Linked DNA regions of Tribolium castaneum. The protein of the gene in region 2 purifies or fractionates together with the protein of the main gene of each other region. This does not show direct contact. Links are inferred from orthologs where the notes say so. Each region holds a gene or a part of one and is shown on either strand. Other genes may lie near its edges.

Region 1 (8,007 bases), on a different chromosome or scaffold from region 2:
AGCGATGAAATTCTAAACAAGGAGAGAACAATCCTCATTCTGCAACAAGAGAATGAAATGGTAAGTTTGGCCGAATCGTTTCGCATTTAACAGATTTGGTCGCAGCTTAAGGAGCGCATAAGTTGTATGGAACGCGGGGCCCCGTTCCACCCCAACAAGTTCTACAATAACCACTCCACGTCGTTTCTGGACGAAGGGCTAGATATGACTCAGGATTCGAGTCCCTGCGACGAAGACAACAAAAATTGTTTGGACCTTTTGGACTTGAACTGTGAGAACGGCACCTGTCCGCCGCTCAAACTTGCCAAATTCGAACAAAACAGCGACGGCGAATCTCAAACCGGAAATCCTTCCATAGACAATAAGTTTGATTCTCAGGTTAACTATCATAAAATTAGTGACAAATTGAAAAGTGAGAGTGAAATCGTAACAGATTGTAACAGTGCTAGTGCCGGCTTTGACTTTACGGTTAATTCGGGGGAATTCGACCCAATGAGAAATTTAAGAATGAGTATTAGGAGGAAACGGTTAAGTAATTCGTCAGCGGTCTCAAATAACGACTCAGTGTTAGACGACAAAAGGTCCTTTCGGAAATTCAAAAAACGGCACAAACGTTAGTATCATCCGGGGCTTGATCGATGAAAGGAGTTTTGCTTTACCTCAGGAGGGAGCCACGTTAGGGGAAAGCAATTCTGACGTCCTGACATTATGAAATATTTAATGAAGTTTACAGTTTTTTTATGCTTTTCTTGCCTCATTCGACCCAAAAATCACCCCTTTGGCTTAATTCGCAGATTTTTTTTCTTGATTATCAAGTATTTATGGATACAGTGTATCCCGTGAGCAGTTTGTTTGCAGCACAAACGCAAGGAGTGCTGCATGAATTACAAATGTAGAAAATTGCTTTCTAAATGAGTTACCTACAATATTTTTTGTAACCAATAACTCAAAAACAGGTTAAACTAGTAAAATTTAAATTTCTGTTACTCATCGTTAAAAAATCATCGTTTCAGTGTCAGCAAGGGTAGCGATACCAACCCAATAAATGTTGCGTCCTACCGAAGATAACCAGAAAATAACTGTTGAAGAGTTATTTACATTCTTGTATGGTAACTTACACTTTATAAGACGAAATTAATTAACATTAATAGCATTAGTGTGCAACGAAATCTTCCTTTAAATAAGATTAGTATGAAAATGAAGATTTAAACGTTCTGAATCCAGATTTGCTTTCAGTTTTTTGCTGAAATAGTACAGATTTTTTAAATGATTTTTTAATTTCTCACAATATATTTTTTTTTGCTTCGTTATTGTATTTACTCTACTTTAATCCATTTAAATCGTATCTGTTTTGTATATTTGGGTGCGTAATTTAAAATAATGTGGCGAAAAACGTAGAACTGTTAATTACAATTATTACATTTTATTATAATGTTATTATCTTTTTTAATAATAAAAGTAGTAGTACTTTCCGCAAAGCAATCAACTAACAGTTTAATATAATGAACAAATTCTAAAGGAGGTTCCTACTTGTTTTTAAATTATTGCAATCGCTTTTTTATTATAAAATTTCTTCTGTTTTCTAAGTGAGAATTCCGAAATTGAAAAAGTAAAAAATCTAAAGCGTTTTAAGCACTTGAATTTTAATTTGATTTAGACTAAATAAATGTAAATTAATAAAGTGACCAAAAATTATATAGCTTTTATAAAACTGGATAAATTTTAAAATAATAAAACCTGACCCTACCCGAACCGAATTGACCTGACCTGACTTTATCTTGTAAACTTTCAGTTGATGGAAAGATAGAAAAACTGAGAACAGAATTTTTTGTCATAGGAACTTTTAATTCAGTTTGATGTCTTTTATCAGCACCCGAGAGATTGTCCGATGCTTTTGAATCATCCTGTATATATATATATATATATATTTATTTGAGGCGTGAATCAGACCTCAAAAATATAACAACCATCACTAGATGGCACCATTCTAGTCAGAGTTAAAAGCTTAAAAAATAAGTAATTTTAGTTATTTATTAATTAAATAAATGTGTAAAATAGCGTTTCAGTAACTGAGTTTTATTTTATGGATGTATTTTATAAATGTGTCTAAATGGCACTTTTGGCCATGGGTACGTGATTTTTAAAACAGAGTGGTTTAATTTGGTAACAGAAGAACGTCTTAAAAAAACGAAACTTCTTTCATTGATCACAGAAAATGTGATTGAATCGAATTAAGCAAAAACGTTTCAGGTATTCTGAAAGATTCTCAAATTTTGACCACAACCGATCAGTACATTACTGAAGCCGGTCGAACAAATTTGAGGCTGTCGAACGTTACAGACATGCAAGAAATTCCAAACAATACGAATTTGGAGGTAATAATCAGGTCAAAATTTCAGTCTTTTTAAATTTGAAAGTGTTGTAGGTGCCCCGCTGGAGGGTTAAAGTGTACGCTAGTTGTTACGCAATGGAAGGGACTGAAAATTTAGACGATGAAGTCTACAACAAAAGACACAGTCGGTTGGAAAACGACGAACGTAGGAGAAAGCGATGGGACGTTCAAAGGATAAGAGAACAGCGGGTAATAGAAAAATTGAAGCAGAGACAGGAAAGAATGGGTTCGGGGTCTCGGACGGATGAACAAATCGAGTCCGTGCTGTCTCTTTGGCCCACTTTAGACAACATTAAATATCTGGAAGTCTCTGATCAGCTGCCAGTGGCGGCCTTTGGCTCACCTATTCCCAAAATAGCCCCCAGGTACCTATGACCTGATCACACTGAATTTTTCTCGACTTTGTTTTTTTAGTGAATTTAGTTTGCCATGGTTGGCTAACCCTGCGCTAATCACGAATAAGAGAGGGTCAACAAAACGAACAACAGTGAGAAAGAAAAACTCAAAGAGATAAGTATTATGTCAACAACCGAAATAAAATTTTAGTCAAGCACCACTGCCTGATGTTTTTGTAAATAAAAATAAATTATGAAGTGGTGGAATGAACGAAAATGTGATTTTATGAATACATACAGGTTATTTGTAAATTGAAACAATCTCATTACATGACAGTTTGTAAAGTATTTATTTAGGTTGTAAGCTTACTTTTGGAGTAGATTACTAGGCGCCGTAATACCAATTTAGGACTCCATATTAGGGTTTTAGGTTGCGAATTTTAATTTTTAAGTAATGTAATATTGTGATATCGGAATTGTTATGTCCATAGATTTCCTGATAATGATATTAATTTACAAATAATGAATCATATATTTTTAGTTGAAGCGCGTTAAATAAATAAATGTATTAGTTGTACTTATTTGTGTATCAGTCACTGTATTTAAATATACACAATTTTTTCGAATCATTTTGCTTATGCCCTCAAGAAAAAAAAATGGTCCTGACCAGGGATTGAACCTCAGACGCGGTCGGAAAAATTACACATCACGGCCTTACACTTCTTTGACGCGAGGTGGCAGCACCATAGTTATTTTAAATACTAACCTAACTTTTACGTAAACATAAAAATGTTAATAAAAGACGCCCCCGTGATTTGGGAGGGTCTCCGGTCCATTATTTGTGTTTACAAGCCTCCTAGTGTAACATGTGAACGCGTACGCAAAACTATCATTGCCGCTGTTTGTAAAGGTTAGGTTAAGCTAGCCCCCTTATTCCGATAATTTTGCACAGAATTATAGGTTTAAATGAGATGGAGTGTCGCCCTCCAGTTGATTTCGTTTGTATTGAAGGAAATCCATCGGGAAAATTAACCGTATCTGTAAAACCAAGTCTCGCCGATGACCCTCTTGTTGTGGGACCTCGTTACATCCACGATGATTTAAAATGTAGTTGGTCGAATTTTTTAGGTTTTAATACGAGCGGAGTGCTTTGTAATATGTTAAAGACACAAGTGATAAATAAATTAACTGTTTATTTTAGTGTTAGGATTAGGGAAAGGCACCAAAGTAGCGAAATTGATAAGAGAGAACAGACCCACTAGGTGTTACCGATTGTCCGGAAAATTGGGCGAAGCGACCGATAACGCCTTTAAGGACGGGAAAGTTGTGGAAAGGACAACCTGGAGACACGTTAAACTAGAAAATATGAATAGGTTTTTAGCAACACTTCAAGCTTCACACCAAAAAGAAATGTTTAAGTATGTTTATTGATTGAGAATGAGCAGCATTTCTTTCATTTAACTAAACTAGGTCATGTGGCATTGATTTGCAATCAGAGGAGGCCTATAAATTGGCTTGTCAGGGACCCATCAGGCCTGCCAACTCAAAACTTCCAGTCATTTACGGAATTAAATGTGTTAAATTTGAACCCCCAGAGTTCGTCATTGGTAAGAGATACAATCAGCCTCCTTGATGGTTCAAAGGTTTTAAAATTATAACATTTTTTTATAATCAACTGTTAAAGAACCATCAGGTTTTTGAATAAAGGTTGGTGCCATTTTCAATTTAAAAATCTCAAAACCATGGCCTCCTTGATGTATTGAGACAACTTCGTTGTTCAGGCCTGGCGCATCGTTAAGTTCGGCTGATTCTCCACTGGCGCTGCATTTAGCGGACTGACGCTTGTTTGACAAATATCATTTTTGAGGTTAAAGACAAATAAATTTGAAAGATGTAAGTATGCATTCGTGAAATACGTTGAAAATGTGAGGATAATTCTAAAGTTATGCCCTGAATGAACGTTTGGATAGTGTAACTCTTGCAGGAAGTCATTTTACGATCATTAGGATTTTTTATTTTCAGCTTCAGAAGATATACAAATTATTTTAGGGTGAATTGATTGTTCATCGTTTATAAGTATTTTAAGCATAACCTACGGCACTAGTACGCAGACACAGATGCAGAGAAAACGATGTTTCAAAGTACCTTCCATTTATTATGCATATTCTATGGTTTTACCAATGGTTAAGGTTGAATGCGTTACAAATCTGTGATATTTAAGACATGGCTTAAGTTTTCTAAAATGTATTTGCAACCTTTTAACCAGCAGATATTTGCAATACATTGTTTAAGCAAATGAAACTATTTTGCACACACGTATTTTCAAAACCTGCTATTGTTAATTTAGTTTTAGTAAAATGTACAAAGAAAATCGTTTTTTCAAATAAAATGGTTAAAAAAAGCTCGATCCAGCGTTCTTCTGCTGCGTTACTCTCTGCTGGAGTGTCTATGAACCGTTCGTTCCAAAGTCCCTGTCTGGACCTCTGCTCACTCCCACGCACCGCTCGTGGATCACCAAACTCCCGAAAAAAATCTACTACTTTATTAATTTTTTTGAGTTTTTGTACTTAGAAATTATCAATTACATTGTGGGCTCTTTTTCACCTTCTCTTCTGCTAATTGTACTTGTTAAATTCAATTTTTTTTCGGATTTAACCTCACAAATGCTATTTGTCAGATAAACGTCAGTGCGCTAAATAGGGCGCCATCTACGGTTTCGAAAAAACCGCTGAAGCTTATTGATGCGCCAGGCCTGAACAACGAAGTTGTCTCCATACATCAAGGAGGCCATGCTCAAAACTTTTCATGAATTACATCACAGTTGATTATAAAAAAATGAACTGTAACTACACCACGTGAAGTTAGCAATTTTCCTTATCCCTCAGGGAGGCTAATTACTAAAGCTAAAATAAATTAATACTTCTCGTAGAAATACAATGCATAAATGAATATGAAACTTACCTGAGAAGTTTAATACATGAAATTGGGATGAAATTACATTCTTCAGCGCATTGTACGGCAATTCAGTGCATCAGACATAGTTATTTTACTGTAGAAAATGCACTTTTGCGCAAACACTGGACTTTGCAGGACATTATTACAAACATGGAACAATGTATACAGATTATGGATGAACACGAAAATATTATCAGACAAAAGTCGGCAGCTTTACAGTAGTTTATTCAATTGTCTTCTGTAAAAATCATTTATTTTACGTTAAATTTGTTTGTTTTGTCAAAAAATAAAATATCCAAAGCAGTAAGATATGATTTTATCCTACATAAAAGTCACCAAAGTTTTATATTATAGTATTATAGTATAAATATACCATAATATAACATAATAATAATATATAATATGAAAACATTAATTTTTTAATTTTAATTGAGCAACTTTTTTGTGTTGGGTTTTAATATTTTATGTTGGACGGGTTAAAAATACTTTGAACATTTTACGATATTTATTGATGTTTACACAGCACCATTTTTTACAAAATGATTTGTCGTTTATTAACAAAAGTATTGTATTCTAGTTTTGATAAATAATTTTTTTTCATTATACATTAGAAGCACTTTCGATGAACGATAACAGGTCCGCACTCATCATATTCATCCTTCGAGATCCACATTTGTTGAAACGTCGTCAGACTCGCCAGAATACTTCCCCCAATCCAAACCGAATATTTTCTCTCAGGCGGTGCGATAATTTTAATTTTCATTGAAGCCGGCGCTAGGGCAGCTATCTCCTTCTGAATCCTATCGGCCATCCCCAAAAACATTGTACTTCCTCCAGAGAGCACAATATTAGCATAAAGATCCTTCCTTATATCCATGTCAGACCTCATAATCGAATTATAAGTGGTTTCGTGAATTCCTGTTGTTTCCATTCCCAGAAAAGTCGGTTGAAACATAGCTTCCGGGCACCGGAAACGTTCATTCCCGATTGTTATGATTTGTCCATCTGGCAATTCGTAACTTTTCTCAAAATTGTTCATAGTTCTCGCGAGTGCGAGGTCTCGTTCAAAATCCAAAGCTACGAAGCAGATTTTCTCCTTCAAATCGCGGATTATTTCGCGCTCTGCGGTCGTCGTGAAACTGTAACCGCGTTCGGTTAGGATTTTCATCAAGTAATCGGTTAGGTCGCGTCCGGCGAGGTCCATCCGCAAGATTGCGTGCGGGATGGCATAACCTGGGGGAAAAAGTTTTGCATTACTGTAATTAATTCATATCGAAAAGAAAATAACTATAAATTTAGCATGATCGTTGGTAATTGTAATTGAGAATAGGGCCTCAACCATTTTTTTAAAGCAATATTAAATACAAAAAAAAATCATACAAAAGTTTGACATAATATGCTAAACGATCTGAAGATGTCGTCTCCAGAAAACGAACCCCTGCTATTTCTGTCGTCCCTCTGGCCGCAACCGTTGCCAGCAATAAATCATTATCGCCTCGTAAACTTGAAAATACTCTGGGAGAAATTTGGCGACTTTATGTAATTAATCAATTTGTGAATGTTAAAAAAAACAATTAACAAACTGACGTGGAATTATTATGATGTTAACGAAAATATTGAATAAGTATTCCAAAAAAAATTTTAATTTTTGTAACAAAATCTAAAGGAATTTAAAGAAGCATTAAATTAAATGTTGTTTATGATGAGCTAGTTACTACGGATTTGCTGAGAAACATTTCACATTCTAAACAAGTTTTGATTTAATGCTCTTTTAAATTCGATTATTAAATTGGCCCTTAATTATTTAAAAAATATTAATGTTAATAAAGTAAAAAATGTTAAAATTTAATTAATCGAAATTTTGAGGGTAGCAACTATTTTATTAAAATTTTTATTTAAAACATCATTTAAGCTCTGTTGATTCAGAAATACACTATTGAAATTGTACAATTAATTAATTAATTAATTAATAATATTTTTTTATAATTTTTTTTCTAAGTGGGTCTTATAAATTGAGAACCAAACTAGTGAAGGATATTTAAGATAAGATATGACAAAAAAATAGAAAAGCGCTTCTAATAATTATAAATCCTAACATTCTGTGAGACTTTGAAATGATATCTTCTATATGATAAATAAAAGAAAATTTTTAATCAAACGTTGTGCCTAAACCTTTTATTTTTTCTAGTACTCGTAATGGATTATTATCGTTGTTATAGTTGTGCTTTAAGATACGTGTGTTGTTTGTAAAACGAACCATAAAACATTTTGTAAAATTAAGTGTAAGTTTGTGGATCTTGCACCAGCTTGCGAGTTTATCAATAT
Region 2 (7,500 bases):
AAACGAGCAGTTGAGGAAAATACAAGAGTCGTTGAGAGACTTGAATAGGAAAATCGAGTCGCTGGAAAAAATGCAATATCCGGATTTGAGGTCTCCTGCCGTTAGCAACGTTACAACGTTCATGGAGGGCTCAAAGGCGACGGTTAAGAACAACGTGGAGGATAACTACATGGAGGCTCCGCAAGACAATGTTTCGCAACCGTCGGATGAGGTCATGGAGAATAGTTGGTTCTACGATGGGCCTTTGATTAGGGGGGAAGTGCATTACTTGAATAGGAATGAGGAAACGTTTTGGAATGAACTGATAGAGCAGTATTTACACCCGATTGAGGATGACAAGAAGAAGGTTTCGGCTGAATTGAAAGATTTGAGGGACAAAATGGTGTTTACTTTCCTGATGTTGAATTCGCTCTACGTTATTGTGATTTTTTTGCTCACTTTGAAGAAGGATTTGCTCCATCTGGACTGGCCGTTTGACCCCAAAGTGAACTTCACGTATTTCGAGGACAAAAATGAGGTAAGCGCACTGTTTGGTTTTTGTTAAATGAGATAGAATACACCATTATTGAAGTTGTTTCCGCTCTACAGTTATTACGTGAATTTTAATAATTCATAAAGAAAGTTTTCATTCATTAAAGAAAGGTCTAAAACCCTTCAAAAAGCATTAATTTTTATTCACTCCAGAAGTACCCAAATATCTGTAGACCATCAAAAATTGGGCACATGAAAAAACAGGGTTTTAGTGCTTTCCCAAAAGTCAACATCCGAAAAAGATCTAAATAGGAAATTCATTAAATAATTATTTGCTACTTTGTTTTATATAACACTGGAAAGTATTCGATGTAAAAATGACAACAAAAATAATATTGAAAAACAGCCTAAACTTAAATAATATCTTTCGAAGAGGGCAGATTATACGACACATTTCACATGTTACTCGTAGAAACAATTTTAATTGAAAGAAATAACATCCCTTTAAAAAATTATCGCATTGAAAACTTTACTACATTGATTTATTTTTAAACCATATTCTCCAAAAAACTAAAGCTTTACTCCGAAGTAAAAGCAAGAATTTATTATTCATGCTAATTAAAGCTTCTACTTTTTTCTCCAAGTAAGTACTTCATCTTTATTCATATGGCCCATCATATAAATTTTAATTGATAAAGGAGATAACATAGGAAGTTTCATAGAAACCGTATCTGTTTATTATTATTTTTTATATGTATTTGCCTCTTGCCTCAAATATGTAAGTCACAATAGCCACATAATGTTCATTTTAAAATATTTCGCGACAAAATGTAATATTTTCAGGGTTGGAGCGTTTTCAGTTTTTAGATGACAATGTAATGTACATTGCTTCAGAATTTTTAATAATAAATTCGCACATTACTGATCAAAATTTTCAGATTGGCGTTTACATAACATACCTCCAGCTGGAGCCCATCGGTTTCGTGTTCCTCATATTTTTCGCCCTGCTTATGGTGATCCAGTTCTTCGCAATGATGATCCACCGCTTCGGCACCTTCTCCCAAATCATCACAAAAACACAATTAGACTTCGATCTGTGCAGCAAACCAATCGACGAAATGACTGTGGACGAACTCAGGTCCCGCGACCCTATAAAAATAGTCGCAGATTTACAAAAACTAAAAGGTATAAACAACGAATACGAGGACCAAACGGAAGTTCCGGTCGAAATGCGAAAAACAGTAAGTAATTTGGCGCAAACGAGCGGTGGTGGTGAGAACAAGCCCATATTTTATTTGGATGAAGCGTTCCAAAGGCGAGTCACTCAAATAGGGAGCACTTCAAGCAACAGTAAGTCACCAATTTGTGGGCGAAACCATCACTGATTTATTTTTTAGACCCGAGCATTAGCGCCTTTAGGAAGAAAAGCCTTGCTTACGTCCAACAAAGAATGAGCATAGCCCCAAATCGGGTGTCACAAGCCCGGCCTAGTGTGCAGTTACGGTACCCCAATGGAAAAGCCAACGAAAATTTCGTTTTTGACGAAAACGGGTCAGACGTGGAGGCATAAAATTGAAATTATTTTTTACTCTTAAATTTATTAAATAAAAGGTTTACAAAGTGCCACCGTGTGGTCATACCCGCAAAACACCTTCGACGCGTAGCCCCCTAGCGCCACTTTAAACGGGAAGTTCTGGTCGTTGGCGAACCCCAGCCCCAGACAGCCCCTCATGTTGCGCCCCCACGCGTAAACATCCCCCAGACTCGTCACAGCCATGGCGTAGCTCAACCCACAAGCCACTTGTACCACCCTGTTGTTAGGTTGAAAGTCGTTCCTGCCGAACAAAACCTCGGGGAGTTTCCTCGGGCGGGAGGTTTGCTCGGCCTTGGGCCCCCCGAGGACTAGACCGTAGCCCCACACGAAAACCTCCCCGTGTTCGTTCAAAGCGAGGCAAAATGAGCCCCCGGCTGCCACATCCACGACTTTGCCCACTTTCAGGTGCTTGAGGTGGACTGGGTTGCTCACTTGTTGCTCGTTGTTTATTGTGGGGATCTGGTCGTACTCAGCGTTGCCCCAGCCGAAGACTTCGCCCCTGTCATTAAGGGCCAACGCGAAGTCGGATCGCGACGATATTTTGACTATTTTTTCGGACTCAATCTCGCCCGTGATTCTCGTGAAGGCACTTGTGTTGTCAAACGTGCCGAGGCCCGTTTGGCCGTCAGCCCCCCACCCGCAGGAATACACAGCCCCGTCGTCAGTTACGGCCAAAGTGTGGTCTTGACCACATTCAATGTCGGTTACTTTCTTACTGTCTATATCAGGAATGTGGTTTATGTAATTACTTAAAAAATAATTTTCGTCTTGGATGATTTCGCGCCCGCACTGGCCGTAGGCGTTATTGCCTAGGAGGAAGAGTCCCTCGTCTGTTAACACCACGAGATGTGCACGCCCCGCCGCTAACTTTCGTATCCGAGTTTTGGTTGGGTTTTTTAAAGGTAGTTTAATGGCCTGCGGGAAGTAAATAATCTCCAAAGGGTGCCCTTGACGCACTTCATGTCTTCCAATTTGTGAGTCGGTATTAAGGCCCGTTCCGTACAATTTATCTTCAGATTCGGTATCAACACCAAACGCGGTGAAACCGAAGCCACAAGCGGCAGTAGTCACCTGCAACTTTCATTAAAATATTGAAACTTGCGGGAACAACGTACTGGGAATTTTTCAGCAAAACCTAGCCGCTTTGGGATGTCTACTGTCTCCCGATGCATGACATTTTCGTTGCGTCTCAAATACGGAATACCTAAGGCCCCCGACATAAGGTTGCCCCAAACAAACACTCGTTTGTACGACTTTTTACTAGTACCGTAGTCAAAGACAGGCAGTGATTTTGCCTCGTCGCGATCGATGGGGTATTTGCGTTTTACAGACATGAAGCGTCCACGGGGGCATTTTTCGAGATAAATCACCCGTTTCAAGTGATTTAACATGTTTTTGTTGTTATTAACCCCACTTTTTTTTACTTGCGTGAAGTCAGCTGAAGATCGCGCAATGTTGGTGGATTCTATGGTTGGTGGCTATACCGACATCCTTGACGAATTGTCGCCAATCGGAGAAACGCAAACCCATGTGTATTTCACGAAAAATTTTGATATCTATTCTAATAATCCCAATTTCGACACGGACACACAATACCAGTTAATAATTAAGTCAAATGTGATGATTTGGGCGAAAATTGGCGCAAATTATTGGTGATAACCCAGTAATCAATATTGGCCACATTGCCAACTGACACTTGTCAAAGTGACGTTTCGTGTGTGTGTGTGTGAAGGTTCAATATTTTCGGAATTTTCACGTGCGGATTAATTTTCCGGCCACAGGAAATCTCTAATTACTTGGACGATCGATATTGATGACTATGTTGTGATGTCATTTAGTGACAATGTCCAGTGTGGAAAAACCAAAACCGATTTTGCCTAAGAAAGGACAAATCATCATTGAAGACATCCAGGACTTGGTGTTGTGCAAACCCCGTCTGATCCCCCTTAAGAGTTTCACTTTGGAAAAATTGGAGAAAATGCAACAAGAGGCCCAAAAATCGCAATCCCAGCAGAGTCCCAAAGACGAGTAAAAATGAATTACGGGCCGCTGATTTCGAAAATTTTGCTCTCTTTTATTCTTGCCTCGACGGTCTTGTACCGATATGGGAACTGGTTCAGGCACCACATTGTGGTGACCTTGATTGTGCTTCTTGCTTGGTATTTCAGTTTCTTGATTATTTTCGCGCTTCCGTTGGACGTAATTTCGGTGAGTGACCAATAGTCAGTTTCAGTCAATCACAGATTTGTTCCTAGACGGTTTACCGCCAGTGTAAGGAAGAACATGACACTTTTGACAACGCCACTTCTTCACTGATGCAAAATGTTACAAATAAAAGTATTGAAAAGTGTGAGGAGCCGTGGAGTCGAGTCCCTCATGAGGTTTTTCCGAACTTGTGGCGTACTGTGTATTGGAGCACTCAGTGCTTAACTTGGTATAAGTTTTCACACACAAAATTTCAACTAAAACAATAATTCCAGGCTAGTCATGCCCATGATGCAATCGTACATCAAAGCTGGTGATTTTACAGTCAAAGGCAAATTGAAATCGGCTGTAATCGACAATGCGATTTATTACGGCTCTTATTTGCTAATCTGTGGAGTTCTACTAATTTACTTGGCCCTCCAGCCTGGGATTCACCTCGACTGGTCAAAACTAAAAGCAATTGCTTCGTCAGCTAGCAATACTTGGGGCTTATTCCTCCTAGTTTTGCTGTTCGGATACGCTTTAGTTGAAGTCCCTCGAACTCTGTGGAACAACTCAAACCACAGTTTTGTGCTAACACATTCGTATTTCAAGGCCGCCAAGCTGAGTTCGGACAAGTGCGAGGCCGAGGAAACCGTCGACGATGTCCTCGAGGTTCCATTACTGATTCGTTGAATTTCCATAGTTATTCAATTGTTTTAGTCGCTACAAGCCGTCTCATTGGCCATTAATTCGCGGCATCCATTGCACGCCCACTTGGAGACCATTCTGCAAAAGGTGCCCACGGAATTACGGGACAGAATGAACCGGAGGCAGCTCCCCGAAGACACCCCCACGGATTTACCGAGCGAAAAGGCACTAGTCAGGCTCCACAAGCAAGTGAGTCTGGTCTTGACAAATAGGCGGACCGCAGACTAAACGCTTGCCGCACTCTTTCAGACGATAAAGTCGCTCCAGGTGTTTCAGAGAACCGAAACACAGTGGAACCTTCTCGTCGAGAAGATTTTCGATCTTGAGGACACTATCAAAAATCAGATTTCGCGAGATAAGCGATTTAAACGCACATTCCAAAAACCCCGATCTCTTTTCAGGAGGTTTTTGTACGTCCCGACAGTTGGTAAGAGTGTCACATTTGACGCGGCTGTGTATTTTATTCAATTGTTGAAGAGTGGTACTGGAAGTGTCTTTTTTATGGCTACACGCAAAAATTATTGGCTGTTATGGCTGGGCTTTTTTCGGTGGCTGTGGTTTGGTCCGAAGTGACTTTTTTCAACAAACAGCCAGTTCTCTCGATTTTTGCCGCTATTGTTAACAGAGCTAAAGTCAAGTACGACTATTTTACGATAGAGGTGAGTCACATTATTTTCTTAAATTGTTGCTATCGTTTGTTTTCGGGACAGTTCAGATCAAATAAAAAACAATTTTTCTATCGATGTTTCGTTAATTTATTCTTGACAATAACATTATTACTTAAGCTACAAACATTTCATATGGGAATGTGGAAGAACATTCTGAACATTTCCTTCTGTGCCCTGTCCTTTTTTTTTGTATTGTTGTTTTTTATGTATCGTTTTGTATTTTTCTTTTTTGTGTTGTGTACAAGAAATTATTAGTATTTCCGAAATTAGCTACAAGACAAACTTATATTTTTTAAGCGGAACTCCCTATATTTTTTTGGTGTAGCTTTTAAAACTATTTTTTTACTATTTTAAAGACTGCTAATTGTTTAAAAATTAAAAAATTGTTACAGTTATTGTCGACCATAATAATCCTGTACTTATGCTACTGTGCTTACTCAACGGTCCTCAAAATAAAACTCCTCAACTTGTATTACTTAGCACCGCACCACCAAACGAACGAGTACAGTTTAATCTTCTCAGGGATGATGTTGAGCCGACTGACGCCTCCTCTGTGTTTAAATTTCCTCGGCTTAATTCACATGGACAGCCACATAATAAAAAAACAAGTCATGGAGACCCACTACACCCAAGTTAGCCACTTAATTTTTTCTCCCACGGTCCAACTAACCGAATTTTTGCCAGATCATGGGTCATATGGACGTCATTTCAATAATCTCCGACGGCTTCAACGTTTACTTCCCAATGGCCATTCTAGTCTTTTGTTTAGCGACGTATTTCAGCGTCGGCTCGCGCCTTTTATCAATGCTGGGTTTCCACCAGTTCGTCGGCGACGACGAAATGACCACCGACCTGATCGAAGAAGGCCGCGAATTGATCAAGCGGGAAAAACGCAAACGCCAGCGGTCGGAGGAGGCCAGCACGAGACGAACCGAATTCAGTGAACGGTTCCCGACCACGGGGAGGTACAGGCCCCGGGGAAGCACCGACACGAGTAAGTCGCGCTTCTTATTGGGCCATTGTTAGGCGATGGTTTCAGTTCGTCCAATGACGCAACTGGAAAATTTGGACAACACGCGCTCAAATTTGCTGCAAGAGTCGCACCCGCTGGACTCGTACGAGAGTCGGAGGTACACGAGTGAGGTCGATACGAGGTTTCCCCCGGATCAGGACGATATCGATGCGCGGTTCGGCGCCAGCACGAGGATTAACGAACGGTATAACAGTTCGCAGGAACTGGAGCCGAGGTTTGCCGACTCGTATCAGTCGGATGGTAACTATAGAAACCGCGTGGGGGCGCCCCCGAGGGGCATTTTCGACGACGTTTAAGTTGTTTAAGTCAGTGATGTTTATTATATTGCGTTGAGAAATTATATTTTTATATTGTTTATAAGGCAGTTTGGTTTTTCAGGTTTCAGCTGAAACCCACCATAGTCAAGTCTTGTAATAGTAGGTTTTAGCGTCCAACGTTTCACGGTAGTAACTTATTTCAGTGTAATCACGATTTCTTCTGGGTCGGATTTTTAAATCAAGTTGGCAACACTAAATAATGAGTCGCAGGCCACTTTGATGAGAAACTTAATTGAAAGCCTGGCATTTGTTATGTAATATTCCAATTACACGTGTAATAAAACAGCCATAACCAGAATAGCATTTTATTAATTACAAAATAAACTGATCACAACAAACTTTGGAAATAAATAATTGTTTAGGCTAAATAAATGATAAAAAACGTCGTAATAGCTAGCGCAAAAAAGGCCAAAGTGTACATGATGGTAATACGGATTAGTTTCTTCTCCTCAGTTTCATAAATCCTGTTGATAACACGTTTCTTCTGCAAACCTTCCAACGATAGCGGCTCGAGTATAATTG

The links.
Region 1: the proteins of RCC1-like G exchanging factor-like protein (region 2) and pseudouridylate synthase TRUB2, mitochondrial purify together in Homo sapiens (affinity purification with mass spectrometry; 3 studies listed by BioGRID and IntAct, with this or other methods). This does not show direct contact. The link is inferred for Tribolium castaneum from reciprocal best matches to the Homo sapiens genes RCC1L and TRUB2.

Annotation. Positions count from the first base shown.
Region 1 is NC_087398.1:10,489,617-10,497,623, reverse strand, and holds pseudouridylate synthase TRUB2, mitochondrial, read left to right. Parts: upstream 1-3,448; 5' UTR 3,449-3,516; coding exon 3,517-3,637; intron 3,638-3,687; coding exon 3,688-3,879; intron 3,880-3,928; coding exon 3,929-4,145; intron 4,146-4,197; coding exon 4,198-4,334; intron 4,335-5,656; coding exon 5,657-5,904; 3' UTR 5,905-5,989; downstream 5,990-8,007. Other genes in the region: male-specific lethal 1 homolog, read left to right, coding at 1-60, 106-613, 2,251-2,375, 2,426-2,757, 2,807-2,906; actin, cytoplasmic, read right to left, coding at 6,290-6,915. UniProt on the Homo sapiens protein: Minor enzyme contributing to the isomerization of uridine to pseudouridine (pseudouridylation) of specific mitochondrial mRNAs (mt-mRNAs) such as COXI and COXIII mt-mRNAs.
Region 2 is NC_087395.1:14,160,668-14,168,167, reverse strand, and holds RCC1-like G exchanging factor-like protein, read right to left. Parts: upstream 3,689-7,500; 5' UTR 3,457-3,688; coding exon 3,181-3,456; intron 3,137-3,180; coding exon 2,072-3,136; 3' UTR 2,050-2,071; downstream 1-2,049. Other genes in the region: Chs2 (chitin synthase 2), read left to right, coding at 1-517, 1,410-1,821, 1,869-2,041; BBIP1 (BBSome-interacting protein 1-like), read left to right, coding at 3,909-4,097; LMBR1 domain-containing protein 2 homolog, read left to right, coding at 4,100-4,273, 4,321-4,499, 4,546-4,924, 4,973-5,149, 5,210-5,387, 5,438-5,619, 6,021-6,260, 6,313-6,622 and 1 more. UniProt on the Homo sapiens protein: Guanine nucleotide exchange factor (GEF) for mitochondrial dynamin-related GTPase OPA1. Activates OPA1, by exchanging bound GDP for free GTP, and drives OPA1 and MFN1-dependent mitochondrial fusion. Plays an essential role in mitochondrial ribosome biogenesis.